Linked DNA regions of Caenorhabditis elegans. The protein of the gene in region 1 purifies or fractionates together with the protein of each later gene. This does not show direct contact. Each region holds a gene or a part of one and is shown in the gene's direction. Other genes may lie near its edges.

Region 1 (8,302 bases):
AGTTACCCCCTGACACAATCAATCATAAATAAAACATCAATCTTCTCCTCGAGGAATTCCATAAACCTTATCAGTTTTTGTGCAGAGGTCACACCATACTTTGATTGCTGATTGAAGCGAAATTCCAAATACACACTTCCACAAACAAAAAATATTTTCAGGTACGATGTGAACCTTGATCTCCCACCATCGGAGCGTTGGGTGCAGATCGCTACAGCCAACAAGGAACACATCGCCGACCTGATCGGTGTGCTGATCAATCTGATCACTCCATGGTTCCCAAATGCCATCGACTTTGTTGATGACGTGTTCGGTGATTTGGCGCCAAAGCTCGCTCAGCCATATCGTGACGAGATCTTCAGTATTGCCAATGCCACCGGTATCCCATTGGGACAGATCACCATGTATAACATCTTCTACGAGATCTTCACCGTTTGCACATCGGTCATCGCTCAGGACAAGGACGGCCACGTTTTCCACGCCAGAAACCTCGATTTCGGACTCTTCATGGGATGGGACCCAGTTCTTCACGACTGGCAAATCTCGCAAAAGCTTCGTAAGATGATCATCAACGTCAACTGGCTCAAGGACGGAAAGCTGTTGTACAAGTCGAACAACTTTGCCGGATACATTGGAATCTACAACGGTCTCAAGCCAAACGCCTTCTCCTTGACTGCTGACGATCGATTCCAGCTTGTCGGAGGATACTACGGTATTCTCAAGTGGGTGTTCGGATTGGAGGCCGACGGAAAATGGATGTCCTGGTTGGCAAGAGAGACCCTCGAGACTAAGACCAGTGAGTTGAATTGTTTTCTTGATGACTTAGATCCTTAGAATTCGGAAGCTTTGATTTCCAGGAAGCTTAGGCTTAGATTCAAGTGTCCCTAATCTTTGCTTCTAATATCCATTGGGCTAGATCCGTCTGAGATCCATAAAGGCTCTATATCCCGAGCTTTCAGCCTACCTCGACGCCAAGGAGCACTTGATGAACACTCCAATGCTCTCACCAGTCTACTTCATTCTCGGAGGATCCAAGAAGGACGAGGGATGCATCATCGCTAGAAGTCTCGACAAGACCGCACTTCTCACCGAGATGGCCACATCCCCACACGGATGGTACCTGTTGGAGACCAACTACGATCAGGGAACCGAGGTGAGAGATGCTAGAGTTGAAGGTGTAGAGTAGGTTCTGGTAGACGGATCTAGGGGCCCAACTTTTAGGAGAGGTCCTTCTCTAGGCCTAGGTCTAGTATTTTGAACCCAGCTTCTTTTTTTGAGTGGGTCGAACTCCTAGCTAGAAATTTTGATCAAAAATCTGTCAAAACCTATCCGGAATTAACTTATCCAACATTTCCCTCTTCCAGGACCTCTACCTTGACGACCGTGACACTCCGGGATTCCGTTGCATGGACAAGTTGACCCAGAAGAACGTCGGATTCGAGGGAATCTTCAACGTCTTGTCATCCCGCACCAACCTGAATAAGCTCACCACCTACACCGTCCTCATGTCCGTCGAGACTTCTCGCTTCGAGACCATCCTTCAATCCTGCCCGGGAGAATGCTATCCATGGTAGATTGGATTCAACATTCTCATATACGCAATGATTCATTGAAATAAACTTTCATTTTTGTAAATAAACTTTGATGGGTTCTTGTTTGAAAACGAAATTTTCATAAAATTTAAAAATTTTAGAGTTTTTTGGTTTTTTTTAAACAAAAATTAAAAATTTTAATTTTCCCGCTGGAAAAAAATAATGAGTTACGGTAGATTTAAAGGCGCATGCACCGAAACTTATCGAGGTTACCAAAGTTATTGCTTTTTGTGGAATTTTACATTTAAAAAATAATTGTTTGCTAATTTTATGGTTTTTCGTCGTTTTTTCGTTTCTAACCAAGTTTTCCTCCTGAAATTCAAATTTCGTCACAATTTTATTAAAAATGGGATACGGTAGATTTAAAGGCGCATGCCTAAATATTTCTTCTGAGTCTCGTAGCGATTGGTGGTTTTGTGGAATTTTCTACTAGAAAAATGAATTTAAACTGATTTTCCAGTATTTTTACACAAATTTTTTTTATTTCAATTCAATTTTCAAATTATTCAATTCAATTTTCTGGCGGAAATTGCCAGTTTTTGTCATTATTGTCCAATAAAATAAGGTACGGTAGTTTTAAAGGCGCACACCTAAATTTTGCTCCCTTGGTTTCAGTTTTGAATTTTTAAAATAGAATTTTAACCGATTTTCGTCGATTTTCACTTAATTTTTTGCACTTTTCCGACGAAAAAGTCGATTTTTTGCAAAATTCGGTATTTTTCTCCATTTTTTCGCGAAAAAACCGCTATAAACCAAATTCTCCACCTTTTCCATCCAATTAATCCGTCTCCAAGGCCTCCTGCACCGCTGCTGCCGCTCCGTCACTCGCCGAGAGAGTATATAAAGTGAAGAGACTGCAGACTGCAAGAGGGCGTGCCCGCCAGCAGCCGATATCCATCTTTGCACTCATTTTCTTCGATTTTCCTCCGTTTTCCGCTAATTTTCTCCGGATTTTCAGTATTTTCCAGTAGCTGCCACGTGGAATTTGACGATTTTAACGAGAAAATCGCAAAAAATCGTCGAAAATGGCGACTTCCGCCATGTTTATACTGGATTTGAAGGGAAAAGTGAGTTTTTTAGTGTTTTTCACGTCGGAAAATGCCAATTTTCGCATTTTTCAGACGATAATTTCTCGAAATTATCGCGGAGACATCGACATGACGGCAATCGATAAATTCATTCATTTACTCATGGAAAAAGAGGAAGAAGGCTCGGCAGCGCCCGTTTTGACCTATCAGGACACGAATTTCGTGTTTATCAAGCACACAAATATTTATTGTGGGTTTTTTGTGTGAAAAATTGAATTTAAAATCAAAAATTAGATAGAAAAATGGCAAAATTGAAGAAAATCCGTTGAAAATGACGCAATTGGTCAGAAATTTGAATTTTCAAGCCAAAAACCGATAAAAAGTGCAATTTTTTGTGGTTTTTAACATTTTCAAATTGAAAATAACGTTTTAAAACTAAAAAATGAGTTGAAAAACAGTGAAAAGTAACAAAATCCCTTGAAAATAACGGAAAACCCAAAAAAATTCAATTTTTTGATTTTAAAGTCAGAAAAATTCAAAAATTCCTTGATTTTCTGAATTCCCGAGTGCTAAAATTCAAAAAAAGCCGAATATTCGTAAAAATTGACTAAAATCAATAAAACTGCGATTTTCGTAATTTTTCCATTTTGTAGTTTATTTGAAATGTGGTAAAAATCTTAAAAAAGGAGCAAAATTGTTTCAAAAATCAAGCTTTTCTGCCAGAAAGTCGATAAATTGCGAAAAATTCGTCATTTTTCACACTTTTTCGACATATTTTCACGATTTTTGAGCCAGAATTGTAAATTTCCGGAAATTTTCCCGCCGACAGCGGGTGCAAGCGCGCTCCAATGATAAAACACCCATTTTTAACGGATTTTCAGTCATTTTCTCCAGAATTTCCAGTCAAAAATTCAAATTTCCCTCATTTCAGTGGTCTCAGCATGCCGTTCAAACGTCAACGTCACAATGATTTTGTCATTTTTGTACAAATGCGTCGAAGTTTTCTCCGAATATTTCAAAGATGTCGAAGAGGAGTCGGTTCGCGACAATTTTGTCGTTATCTATGAACTTTTGGACGAAATGATGGATTTCGGGTTCCCACAGACGACTGAGAGTCGAATTCTACAAGAGTAAGGAGGAAAAACGAGAAAAATTGAAAAAAATTACTCAAAAATTCGAATTTCCCGCACGAAAAATCGTTTCATTTTCTGCTGCAAATGCGCTCCAATGCGAAAATAGCCAAATATTAGCGTTGGAGCGCATTTGCAGCGCGCGATAGCAGTAATTTTAAATTTTGGGTCAAAATATGTATTTTCGACCCTAAAATTTTGAATTTCCAATCACAAATGCGCTCTAATGCAAAAATCGCAAAAAATTTACATTGGAGCGCATTTGCAGTGGCGGGGAATTCAAAAATTCAAATTTTCCTGTTCAAAATGTGTCTTTTGTCTCGAAAATTTGAATTTCTATTTGCAAACGCGCTCCACTGCGATTATTTGCACTGTAGCGCGGTTGCAGCTGGGAAATTTGAATTTTCATTGAAAATTTCAATTTTCTCGCATTCAACATGCAGCAAACGCGCTTCAATGCAAAAATCGCAAAAGTTCACATTGGAGCGCAATTTTCCTGTTCAAAATGTGTTTTTCGACTCGAAAATTTGAATTTTTGTGCAAAATTATCATCGATTTTTCCTCAATTTTCAATCAAAAAACCCCCCAATTTTTTGCAGATACATCACACAAGAAGGTCAAAAACTAATTTCGGCACCCCGTCCCCCGATGGCAGTGACAAATGCCGTCTCATGGCGCTCTGAAGGCATAAAATACCGAAAAAACGAGGTTTTCCTGGACGTAATCGAAAGTGTGAACATGTTGGCCAGCGCCAACGGTACCGTACTTCAATCGGAAATTGTTGGAAGCGTTAAAATGCGTGTCTATCTTACCGGAATGCCTGAACTTCGGCTGGGTCTTAACGATAAAGTACTTTTTGAGGGCAGTGGACGTGAGTTTTTTCGAATTTTATGCGAAAATTGAGATTTTTCAGGCAATTTTACCCTAAAATCGATAAAATTTTGTTAAAATTCAACAATTTTAAAGTTTTTAGCGTTTTTCAATTGCGCTCCAATGCGACTTTTTTTAAATTTTTGCAATGGAGCGCGTTTGCAACTTGAAATTCAAACTTCCTACCGCTACAATCGCGCCCCATTGATAATTCTCGATTTTCAGGCGGAAAAAGCAAATCTGTGGAACTGGAAGACGTGAAATTTCATCAATGTGTACGCCTGTCGCGTTTTGACACGGATCGAACGATCTCCTTCATACCGCCCGACGGAGCATTTGAGCTTATGAGCTATCGGTACGAAAAAAGTGGAGAAAATCGGATTTTTAACCGAAAAATCGAGTTTTTCGCATGATTTTGACGGAAATTCAGTGATGTGGCCTAGTTTTTTCGAAAAGTTAGGCCACCGACTTCTAATCTGTGGCCGAAGTTTGATTTTGTCTATTTTTTGGCTTAAATACTCGATTTGAAAGCTGAAAATGCCAGAAAATCCTAGGAAATGCCAATTTACCCACGTGGCCTAGGTTTTTTGGAAGTTAGGCCACCATAGCCTAGTTCGTGGCCGAGTTGTAATTTCGAGTTAATTTCTGCTTTTTTATGCCAAAAACGCTCGAAAAACAATTATAAGGTGTAGAAAATACAAATTTGCTTACGTGGCCTAGGGTTTTCCGGAAAAAACTAGGCCACCAAAGGCCGATTCCTGTTTTTGGGTTCTTTTAGGTCAAAAAACTCGTTATTCAGACGAAGAAGAGCTCAGTAACATGAAAAATTCTAGAAAAATACAAATTTGCATACGTGGCCTAGATTTTACAAGAAAGTTAGGCCACCACTGGCCAATTCATGGCCGAACTCTATTTTTTGGCTAAAAACTCGGCTTCTTTACTACAATAGCTCGATTTTTCTGTAAAAACACGTTAAAACTGTAACAAATGGAACACGTAACATGCAAATTTCCACTCGTGGCCTAGTTTCTCGCAAAAGTTAGGCCACCACTGATCAGTTCGTTGCCGAACTCTATTTTTTGCTGAAAACTGTGTGTCTGGATCAAAATTGTTGGTTTTTCTTAAAAAATAAGTCAAATACACCTGCGGCCTAGGTTTTCGGGTAGAAAATTAGGCCACACCTTAATTTTGAGTCTAAAAAGTTGATCACTAGGCCAAATTTAGCTTGAAAACACTGAAAAATAAAAAAAAAGCAAATTTACATGCGTGGCCTAGGTTTTCAGGTAAAAAGTCAGGCCATGCCTCAATTTTGTGTCGAAAAACTCGATTTTTACCTCAAAAAGCTCCAATTTTTCCTGAAAATTCTCGAAAAATACCGTTTTTTTTCAGATTAACAACCGTGGTGAAGCCGCTGATCTGGATCGAGACAAGCATCGAACGTCACAGTCACAGCCGTGTCTCGTTTATAATCAAAGCGAAATCACAATTCAAACGGCGCTCCACTGCTAATAACGTGGAAATCATTATTCCAGTCCCGTCGGACGCTGATTCACCGAAATTCAAGACAAGCATCGGTTCGGTGAAGTATACGCCCGAGCAATCGGCCTTCGTATGGACTATTAAGAATTTTCCCGGCGGAAAAGAGTACCTTTTGACCGCCCATCTATCTCTACCGTCTGTGATGAGTGAAGAGTCTGAAGGACGGCCGCCGATTAAAGTCAAATTTGAAATTCCGTATTTTACGACCAGCGGCATTCAGGTAGCCGAATTTTTCGCTTAAAATTCGACTTTTTAGCTCAAAAATTCAAATTTCCCACCGCCAAAAACTGCCCAATTTTGAGATTTATGTAATTTTTTCGCTCTAAAATGCTGAAAATTTCATTTAAACACATGATATTATTTAAAAATCCGACTTTTCAACTAGATTATTTGAATTTCCCGCCGACCGCATGTTGCAAGCGCGCTCCACGGATAAAACTGCTCAAAATGCAGATTTTTGTGATTTTTTTGCGTCAAGATGATGCAAATTTCTCGAAAAAACCTAACATTTGACTTTTTAACTCAAAAATTCAAATTTCCCGCCTACCACATATTGCAAGTGCGCTCCACGGAGAAAACGGCTCAAAATTGAGAATTATGTGATTTTTTGGTGTTTAAGGGTGATAAAATCTTCTAAAAAAAAGGCTTGAAAATTCAATTTTTCCCATAAATTCCACCAAGTAAACCCTAATTTTCAAATTTTCAGGTCCGTTATCTGAAAATCATCGAGAAAAGTGGATATCAAGCATTGCCGTGGGTCCGCTACATTACTCAAAATGGAGAATACGAGATGCGGATGAAATAATTCCTGAAAAAATTACCTAAATTCATATTTTATTGTATTTTATTCCCAATTTTACTCTTAATTTTTGGAATTTTTTATGAAAAATTGGTGAAAAACGACCGTGGCCGAGTTTTTGGAAAATTTGGAGGTCTAGGCCACCATGCTTCCAGTGGTGGCCTAACTTTTCGAAAATCCTAGGCCACGGCCCCGTTTTCCATCAATTTTTGCCTCTTTTAATGTCAAACATCTCCAATTTTTTCTGTGAAAATTTAATGCTCCGCGAGCTGCTCCCCGGCTCAAAACATGTGTTGTGTGTGCTCTTTCCCCTGATGACCCCGAACTCTATTTTTTTTTGTTCGAAAATTTTTATTTTATTTTTCCCACCGATTTATTTATTGATTTTTATCGCATAATTTAGATTTTTTCCAGAAAAACGAGTTTTTTCCCTTTCCCACCAGCATAATTTTCTCACCACATGGATCCTCATCAATTTTTCCCGTTTTCCTTTTTTCAGTAAATCAATAAATTTTCTGTCATAATTGTTTACAAAATGTTTTCCGGGGGCTAAAAATTCCATTTCAAAAATTGTCTAAATTTCCAGAAAAATCACTGAAAAAAATGCAAAAAATTGCCAGAAAATGCGCCGATTGTTGCCGATTTTTCGTCGAAATTTGCGAATTTCTGCATTTTCGCGTCAATGCACCACATCTGACGACACTTTGCGGACTTTTGCGCCAAATGCGTTGATGGATCGAATTGTGGACGATTTGAAGGTTCGGCAAAGCGGGAATTTGAAAATTTTGAAGATTTAGCATTGGGGCACACTTGCATCACGCTTTTATGGCGCGAAATTTGAATTTTTGCCCTAATTTTGGACTTTTTTTTGCATTGGAGCGCATTTGCATTAGCGGGAAATTCAAATTTCCAACTCTAATTCAATTTTTTCCAGAAAACTGGCACACATTTTGTGATTCCCGGTCGAGATTCCTTTGCCAGACAGGAATCGGCAAAAGTTTTCGAAAAACTTTTGGAAAATGGTAGGTTTTGCTAATTTTTTTTAGTGAAAAATTTGAAAAAACGAAAAATCGAGGGTTTTGAGCATTTTGACTCTGAAAAAACAAAAAAAACTAGATTTTGAAGCATTTTATCCGTGGAGCGCACTTGCAACATGTGGTCGGCGGGAAATTCAAATTTTTGAAATAAAACACGGAATTTAGGCGAATTTTATGTTTTTACAGACGATTTTCAAGCATTTTGAGTCTGAAAATTCGCAAAAATCCTGATTTTGGGCTGTTTTATCCATGGAGCGCACTTGCGCAATGTGGTTGGCGGGGATTTCAAATTCTTGAGTTAAACTAT
Region 2 (5,703 bases), on another chromosome or scaffold:
AAAACTGGCAAAAAGGTGGAAAAACCGTGCCGGAGGGTTGCGAAATTACGCTCCGCCTCTTTTTCTGTGCGATACTGCTTTAGAGGCAAAAAATTGAAATAAAGAGCATTTTTTGCAGAGTGAGCCATTCAAAAACTTTGTGCGACCCAACGACTACATTCTGGCAAAAGTTTGTGAAGACGCCGAAATCAAGGACAAATTCGTTTTATCGATCGCCGAAGACGAGCTAGGCGTTGTGCTGTGCCGTGGACGATTTGGTGAACCAATGCAAAAAGTCGACTGGAATACGGTGGTCTCGACACGAACCGGCAAAACGGAACCCAGGAAAATGGCCAAAGTTCCGCAAAAGTGCACATTGCCCACGCAATCGGTGGCCTGAATAATTATCCTCTCTGAAAAGATCTTTGAATCGTTATATTTTTGTACTTTTTTTTGTGTTTTTGGGGGCCATTGTTTCGAGGAAAAAAAAGTCATAATTGTTCCCCCACTCATTCCTTCCTTTTTTGTTGAACAATTTTTCAAAAAAAAAAAAATGTTTCTCGGTTTTTTTTTTTCAACTTTTCAGGTTCTAGAATTTTTAGTTTTTCCATTTTTCCGGCGGAAATTTTTTTTATAATTTCAATTTTCAAAAAAGAGTAACTGAAATTGTGCGAAAATTCAAATTAGCCCAGTAACCGCGCCCTATTGAGAATTTACCGGTCTCGCAGCGAAATGTTGACTTTTTTCTTTTGAATTGCTTATAAACCAAGAAATTCGGCGATTTTTGTGAAAATATAAAGTTTTCGGTCTGGACACAACAAATTTTTGTTAAATGCAAAAAGGTGTGCGCCTTTAAAGAGTACTGTAGTTTCAAAATTTCGTTTCTGCCGAATTTAAATCGATTTTCCAAATTTTTTCTCACGATTTGTTTAGCTTTTTGCTAAAAAAAACATACGTTTTCATCAAAAAACTGTGAAAAATCTCTCAAAATTATGCGACAACTAAAGTTTGAAGCTACAGTACTCCTTAAAGGCGCACACCTTTTTGCATTTAACGAAAATTTGCCGTGTCGAGACCTTAGCGCAAAAATCGCTAATTTTTTCAAAAAAAAATCCTCGGCCACCATGCAGTCAAGGGATACTCCCTAAGACGTCATTTTCTAACAAAAAAAAAACAAAAAAGAAAATGTTGATGTTTCACCAGATTCCTCCCCGTTGTTGGGTGGAAGAACTTTCATGAATTTTGTATGTTTCGGAACGTAGCTCCTCCTTCAAAAAATGCTCCAAAATGCATGATGAGATGGGCTCACTGAGCTCCCCAAAAAAAAATTCATCGAGGAGCTGCTCACCGAGAATCACTTTGTTTTCGTCGACGATTTTTCTTGCAGATTACTGTAAAATTGGCAGTTTTTCGTGAAAACTGCTAAGTTTCGCTGCAAGACCAACAAATCTCAATGGAGCACGTTTGCAGCGTGATTTTGAATGTTTATTAAATTGCTCAGCTGTTTTGTGTAAAAATCGAGTCCTTCTAAAAAAACCCCCTAGGAAAACTCGTAAAAAAGACTGAAATCGTACCAAGACCCACCACGCGCCTTTAAGTTTGCCCATCATATTTTGCGAATGTGTAATAATAGTTTTAAAAAGGTATTTTTTCGTGAAAAATCCGGCATTAATTTAAAAAAATAAGTGTTAATCAATATTTTTGACCGAAAATTCAAGGTTACTCAGCAACCGCGCCCTGTCGAGAACTCCCCGGGTCTCGCAGCGAAAATACTGAAAAAAAGAGATTTTGGAAATTTTCGCGCCAAAACTGCGTTACACGGTCTCGACACGAAAATTTTTAAAATGAAAGTATATGTTTTTAGTGTTTCTATTTAATTTTTTCTCAAAAAAATAAATTTTCATCGAAAAACTACGAACATCCGTACCACCGAAATTTTGAAATTACAGTACTCTTTAAAGGAGCACACCTTTTTGCATTTAACAAAAAAATTGTCGTGTCGGGACCCGGTACCGTACTTTTCCGCGAAAGTTTCATTCCTATTTTGAAATTTTCTTAGAAATATGAAATTTCCATCTGCATTCCAGCACAAAAACATTTATAACTCGGGAATCCTTCAAGATTTTAAAAATTTGTCAACTGATAATATATTCAGCACAAAATTTGCCACATTTTGTTAGTTGCCAATTTTTTGATCAGTTGCTTAACTGGCGATGTATATGAGTTTGAAAATTTTCGGGAAAAAATTTCAAAAAAATTTTTCGAATTTTTTTCAATTTTCTTTTGATTTTGAATTTTCCTAACATCGTTTTATCAGATATTTTAAAAATTGAATAGCTCGAACCCTGAAAGATCCTCGATTTTTTAGTTTTCTCCTAAAAGTACTTAACTCCCCCCGTCACCTAGTACTTTTTAATCAAATTTATTCGCCAATTTTCAACATTTTTTTCCCTAACACCATATAATCAAATTCCCGTTTTCACCAACAATACCAAAATCCATTTATCAATAATCAATATTCAGTGCCACGTGTCACTCACTTCCAGACGCTCAAAATCGCGCCGATTCCCCAAAACCGGACAATTATGAGGTGAGACGAGCCGAAAAAGAGACAAGCCTATATGAAATAATGACATCTGTGACGTCTAGGTTATAGGTTTCCATGGAAAAATGTGTGAAGAATATTTCTGGCATTTTTGGATTTTTAAACAATTTTGAAAAAGAGTTTTTGGTTTAAAAATATTTTTTTTTCTATTTGTGTTTCACTTTTTCCGAGAAATTGCTAACTGCACAATTGTTTAGCTAAATAGTTGCTACATTTTGTTAGTTTACAATTTTTATGTAACTCGTAAGGCTATGAAGATATGAAGGTTCAAACGTTTAAGTTATGTAGGCAAAATGGTATTCACATGCTCTAATTTTAAAATCATTGTTTCGTTGCTGAAAATTGAGATTTTCAATTAATTCTATATGACAAAATATTTTGCAGAAAATTTGCCACATTTTGTTAGTTGACAACTTTTAGATAGAAAAAATTATAAAAAAGTTACAAACGTTTGAAAAAAATTGTAAAAAATTAAATTTAAAAAAACTGAAAATTGTAAACCGACCAAGTAAATTACGTAAAATTTTTTAATCTTTCTCTACTATAATTTTCACTTGCATTACTCCTAATAGAAAGGAAATGATAGAAAATATTAGCTTTTTCGAGAGAGCGAAAGAGAGGGGAGACGCAGACACTACAACCGTCTGCATTTCCCCTCACCCTCTACACACTCGCAGATGATTGTTTAAGTGCTTTTATCTTTTCAGGCAGTTGCGTTATCAAAACGTTTTTAAATAACAACTTGTAGAAAATTTTAAGGGCTATATTTTATTAATTGGTAACTTTTTGCTAATGCTTGTAGTTTTTGAGATATATCATTTTTAGATAAACAACTTTAAAAGCTTTATATCTTAAAAACCATTGAAGCTGTCAGAAACTTGTCAAGTGACAAAATATAGCCCTTAAAATTTTCTACAGTTTAATAATAAGATATGTTACTTTTCAGCCACCAAGCCTCCCATTTCGGGGTTAAGAAAAAGTGGAAGGCCAACGGATCATCGGGTGGTGGTGGCCTGTCGGCGTTTGCCAGGATGAAACGTAAGTTGTTGAAAATTTGGGAAACAACTATTTGTAACTAGTTTGACCTCCCATAAACCCGGAAGTTACTATTTTTGGCGCATCCCATCATTTTTAGTTCTTTCTTTGCTACGTTTGCATTGTTAAGGGGGTCTTCTTGCAAGAAATGCTGTGCCACGTGAAACTTTTAAAAATAAAAGTTTTGAAAAATTCATTGTTATTTTCAGGAACAAAGTTTTTATGGATGAATTTTCAATTTTCTAAAAAAGTTTTTAGAGTTTTCAGAAGAATCCAAAAATTAATTTTTACAATAAGTATGTTTCGTACAGTATACTGTACGAAAAAAAAAACGGGAAAACTAGGTTTATTAAAAATATGTTAGGTTTAATTCTAATATAACTTTGTAACTATGAGATTTTTCCAAAAAATCGGGAATACGAAAAACTAAAATTTTCTATTTTTCATTTTTTTGAAAATCTAAAAATCTAAGCAATTTAAATTTAAAAAAAGAACATGAATTTTTTTAAAAAATTAATTATCGATCACTCCAGCAGGGGTTGGCGGCAAAAAAAAAATTTTGTCGACAAATTCGGCAAATCGGCAAATGGTCGGTTTGCCAATTTGCCGGAATTTTTCATTTAAGGCAAGATGCCGATTTGCCGGAAACTTTTGGAGGGATTTTTTAACAGGACGGAAACACTTAAAACTATGCCTTTTTGAAATATTTTTCCCGTTTTCATTGAATTTCTGAAATCTCCAAAAATAATGTGCAAAAGCACTTGTCGTTTTTCTGGCAAATTCGGTGAATCGGCAATTTGACGACTGGCCGAGTTGCCGGATCTTTCGATTCCGGCAATATGCTGATTTGCCGGAAAAATTTTTTGCCGCTCACCCCTGGATCATTCCACGTCATAAAGTTGCCACGTCATAAAAAGTGTTCTTTGGGTGACCTCCATTGCTCATAAGCTCTCTCATAAATATCTAAATAGGCATATCTTTTTCATTTTTGCTCATGAAAGAGAGCACCACGATTTTAAGAAAAAATGCCTACCTACGCACCTACATGGCAGGCAGGCAACAAAATTGTAGGCATGGATGTGCCTGCCTTGTAGGCGCGAAGGTAGGCATGCCTTCTCTAAGGTTTGAACTTTTCAGCTGTTCTGGATCCATCGGCCGATCGAATTTGGACAATTGGACAAATTATCTATCAGCGACACCAGGCCTTTAACAGAAATTCCGCGATTAAAAGTCGTAAGAAATTTTTTTTCTCCCCTTGATTTTTTTTATTTTCTAAGGCAGCTGATAAAAGTGTCATTTATCACCTGTCAGATTTCCTCAACTTATGATACTAACAAGAAACTATTTCTTGAAAAATGTATATTTCAGAGGACAATGGAAGTTTCGACTACATTGATATGGTCTCGCAAAGCTCACTGGATAGGTTAGTTGGGAGTATAGTAGGGGTGCTAGCAAAAAGTTCTAAACTAATAAATTTTTTACTAGCTTATATAGTTTTTGAGATATAAAGGTTTAACTAAAAACTGCGATATCTCAAAAACTATTAAAGCTATCAAAAAGTTGTCAACTAACAAAATATAGCCCTTAAAATTTCCTACAAATTATTAATTAACAAATTTTTAATAGCACTTACCGTTTTTGAGAAAAGGGGGTTTTAGTATTTCTTAATTTGTGGTTAGTTTTTTTAGACTGTTTCCCATTTTATGTCGGTTGCTAACACAATTTCTCTTGAAAATAATTCCTAGATGGAAAATTAAGTTTTTACTGAAACCAAGAAATTGTGTTAGCAGCCGACATAAAACGGGAAATGTTTTTTTCAAAAATAACCTATTAGAAATTAAAACAAAACCAAACCTTTTAATCTCAAAAACTTTAAATGCTATCAAAAAATTGTTAACTGGCGAAATATAGTCCCTAAAATTTCCTACAATTTGTTAGTTGACAACTTTTTGGTATCACTAACCGATATGGATATTGAGGGTTTAAAAAAAAAATAATTTCTAAATTTTAATAGTTACTTTTTTTTTAACCTTTCCCATTTTATGTCGGCTGCTAACTCAATTCCCTTTTGATAAAATTAAAAA

What was found. Proteins that work in one complex are often made in the same cells at the same time.
Region 2: the proteins of unc-101 (region 1) and kvs-4 purify together in Caenorhabditis elegans (affinity purification with western blotting, with the first as the bait; one study listed by BioGRID). This does not show direct contact.

What each region holds. Positions count from the first base shown.
Region 1 is NC_003279.8:12,505,938-12,514,239, forward strand, and holds unc-101 (AP-1 complex subunit mu-1-I), read left to right. Parts: upstream 1-2,361; 5' UTR 2,362-2,617; coding exon 2,618-2,659; intron 2,660-2,713; coding exon 2,714-2,870; intron 2,871-3,551; coding exon 3,552-3,750; intron 3,751-4,349; coding exon 4,350-4,621; intron 4,622-4,845; coding exon 4,846-4,975; intron 4,976-6,009; coding exon 6,010-6,379; intron 6,380-6,865; coding exon 6,866-6,964; 3' UTR 6,965-7,483; downstream 7,484-8,302. Other genes in the region: asah-1 (Acid ceramidase subunit beta), read left to right, coding at 162-796, 960-1,153, 1,365-1,574; mter-4 (Mitochondrial transcription termination factor family protein), read left to right, coding at 7,582-7,716, 7,893-7,980. UniProt on the Caenorhabditis elegans protein: Component of the adaptor complexes which link clathrin to receptors in coated vesicles. Clathrin-associated protein complexes are believed to interact with the cytoplasmic tails of membrane proteins, leading to their selection and concentration.
Region 2 is NC_003281.10:11,010,064-11,015,766, forward strand, and holds the start of kvs-4 (putative voltage-gated potassium channel subunit kvs-4), read left to right. Parts: upstream 1-2,500; 5' UTR 2,501-2,564; coding exon 2,565-2,569; intron 2,570-3,530; coding exon 3,531-3,622; intron 3,623-4,756; coding exon 4,757-4,852; exon of another isoform or gene 4,853-4,909; intron 4,910-4,987; coding exon 4,988-5,042; intron 5,043-5,703. Other genes in the region: exos-1 (Exosome complex component CSL4 homolog), read left to right, coding at 119-379. UniProt on the Caenorhabditis elegans protein: Voltage-gated potassium channel that mediates transmembrane potassium transport in excitable membranes.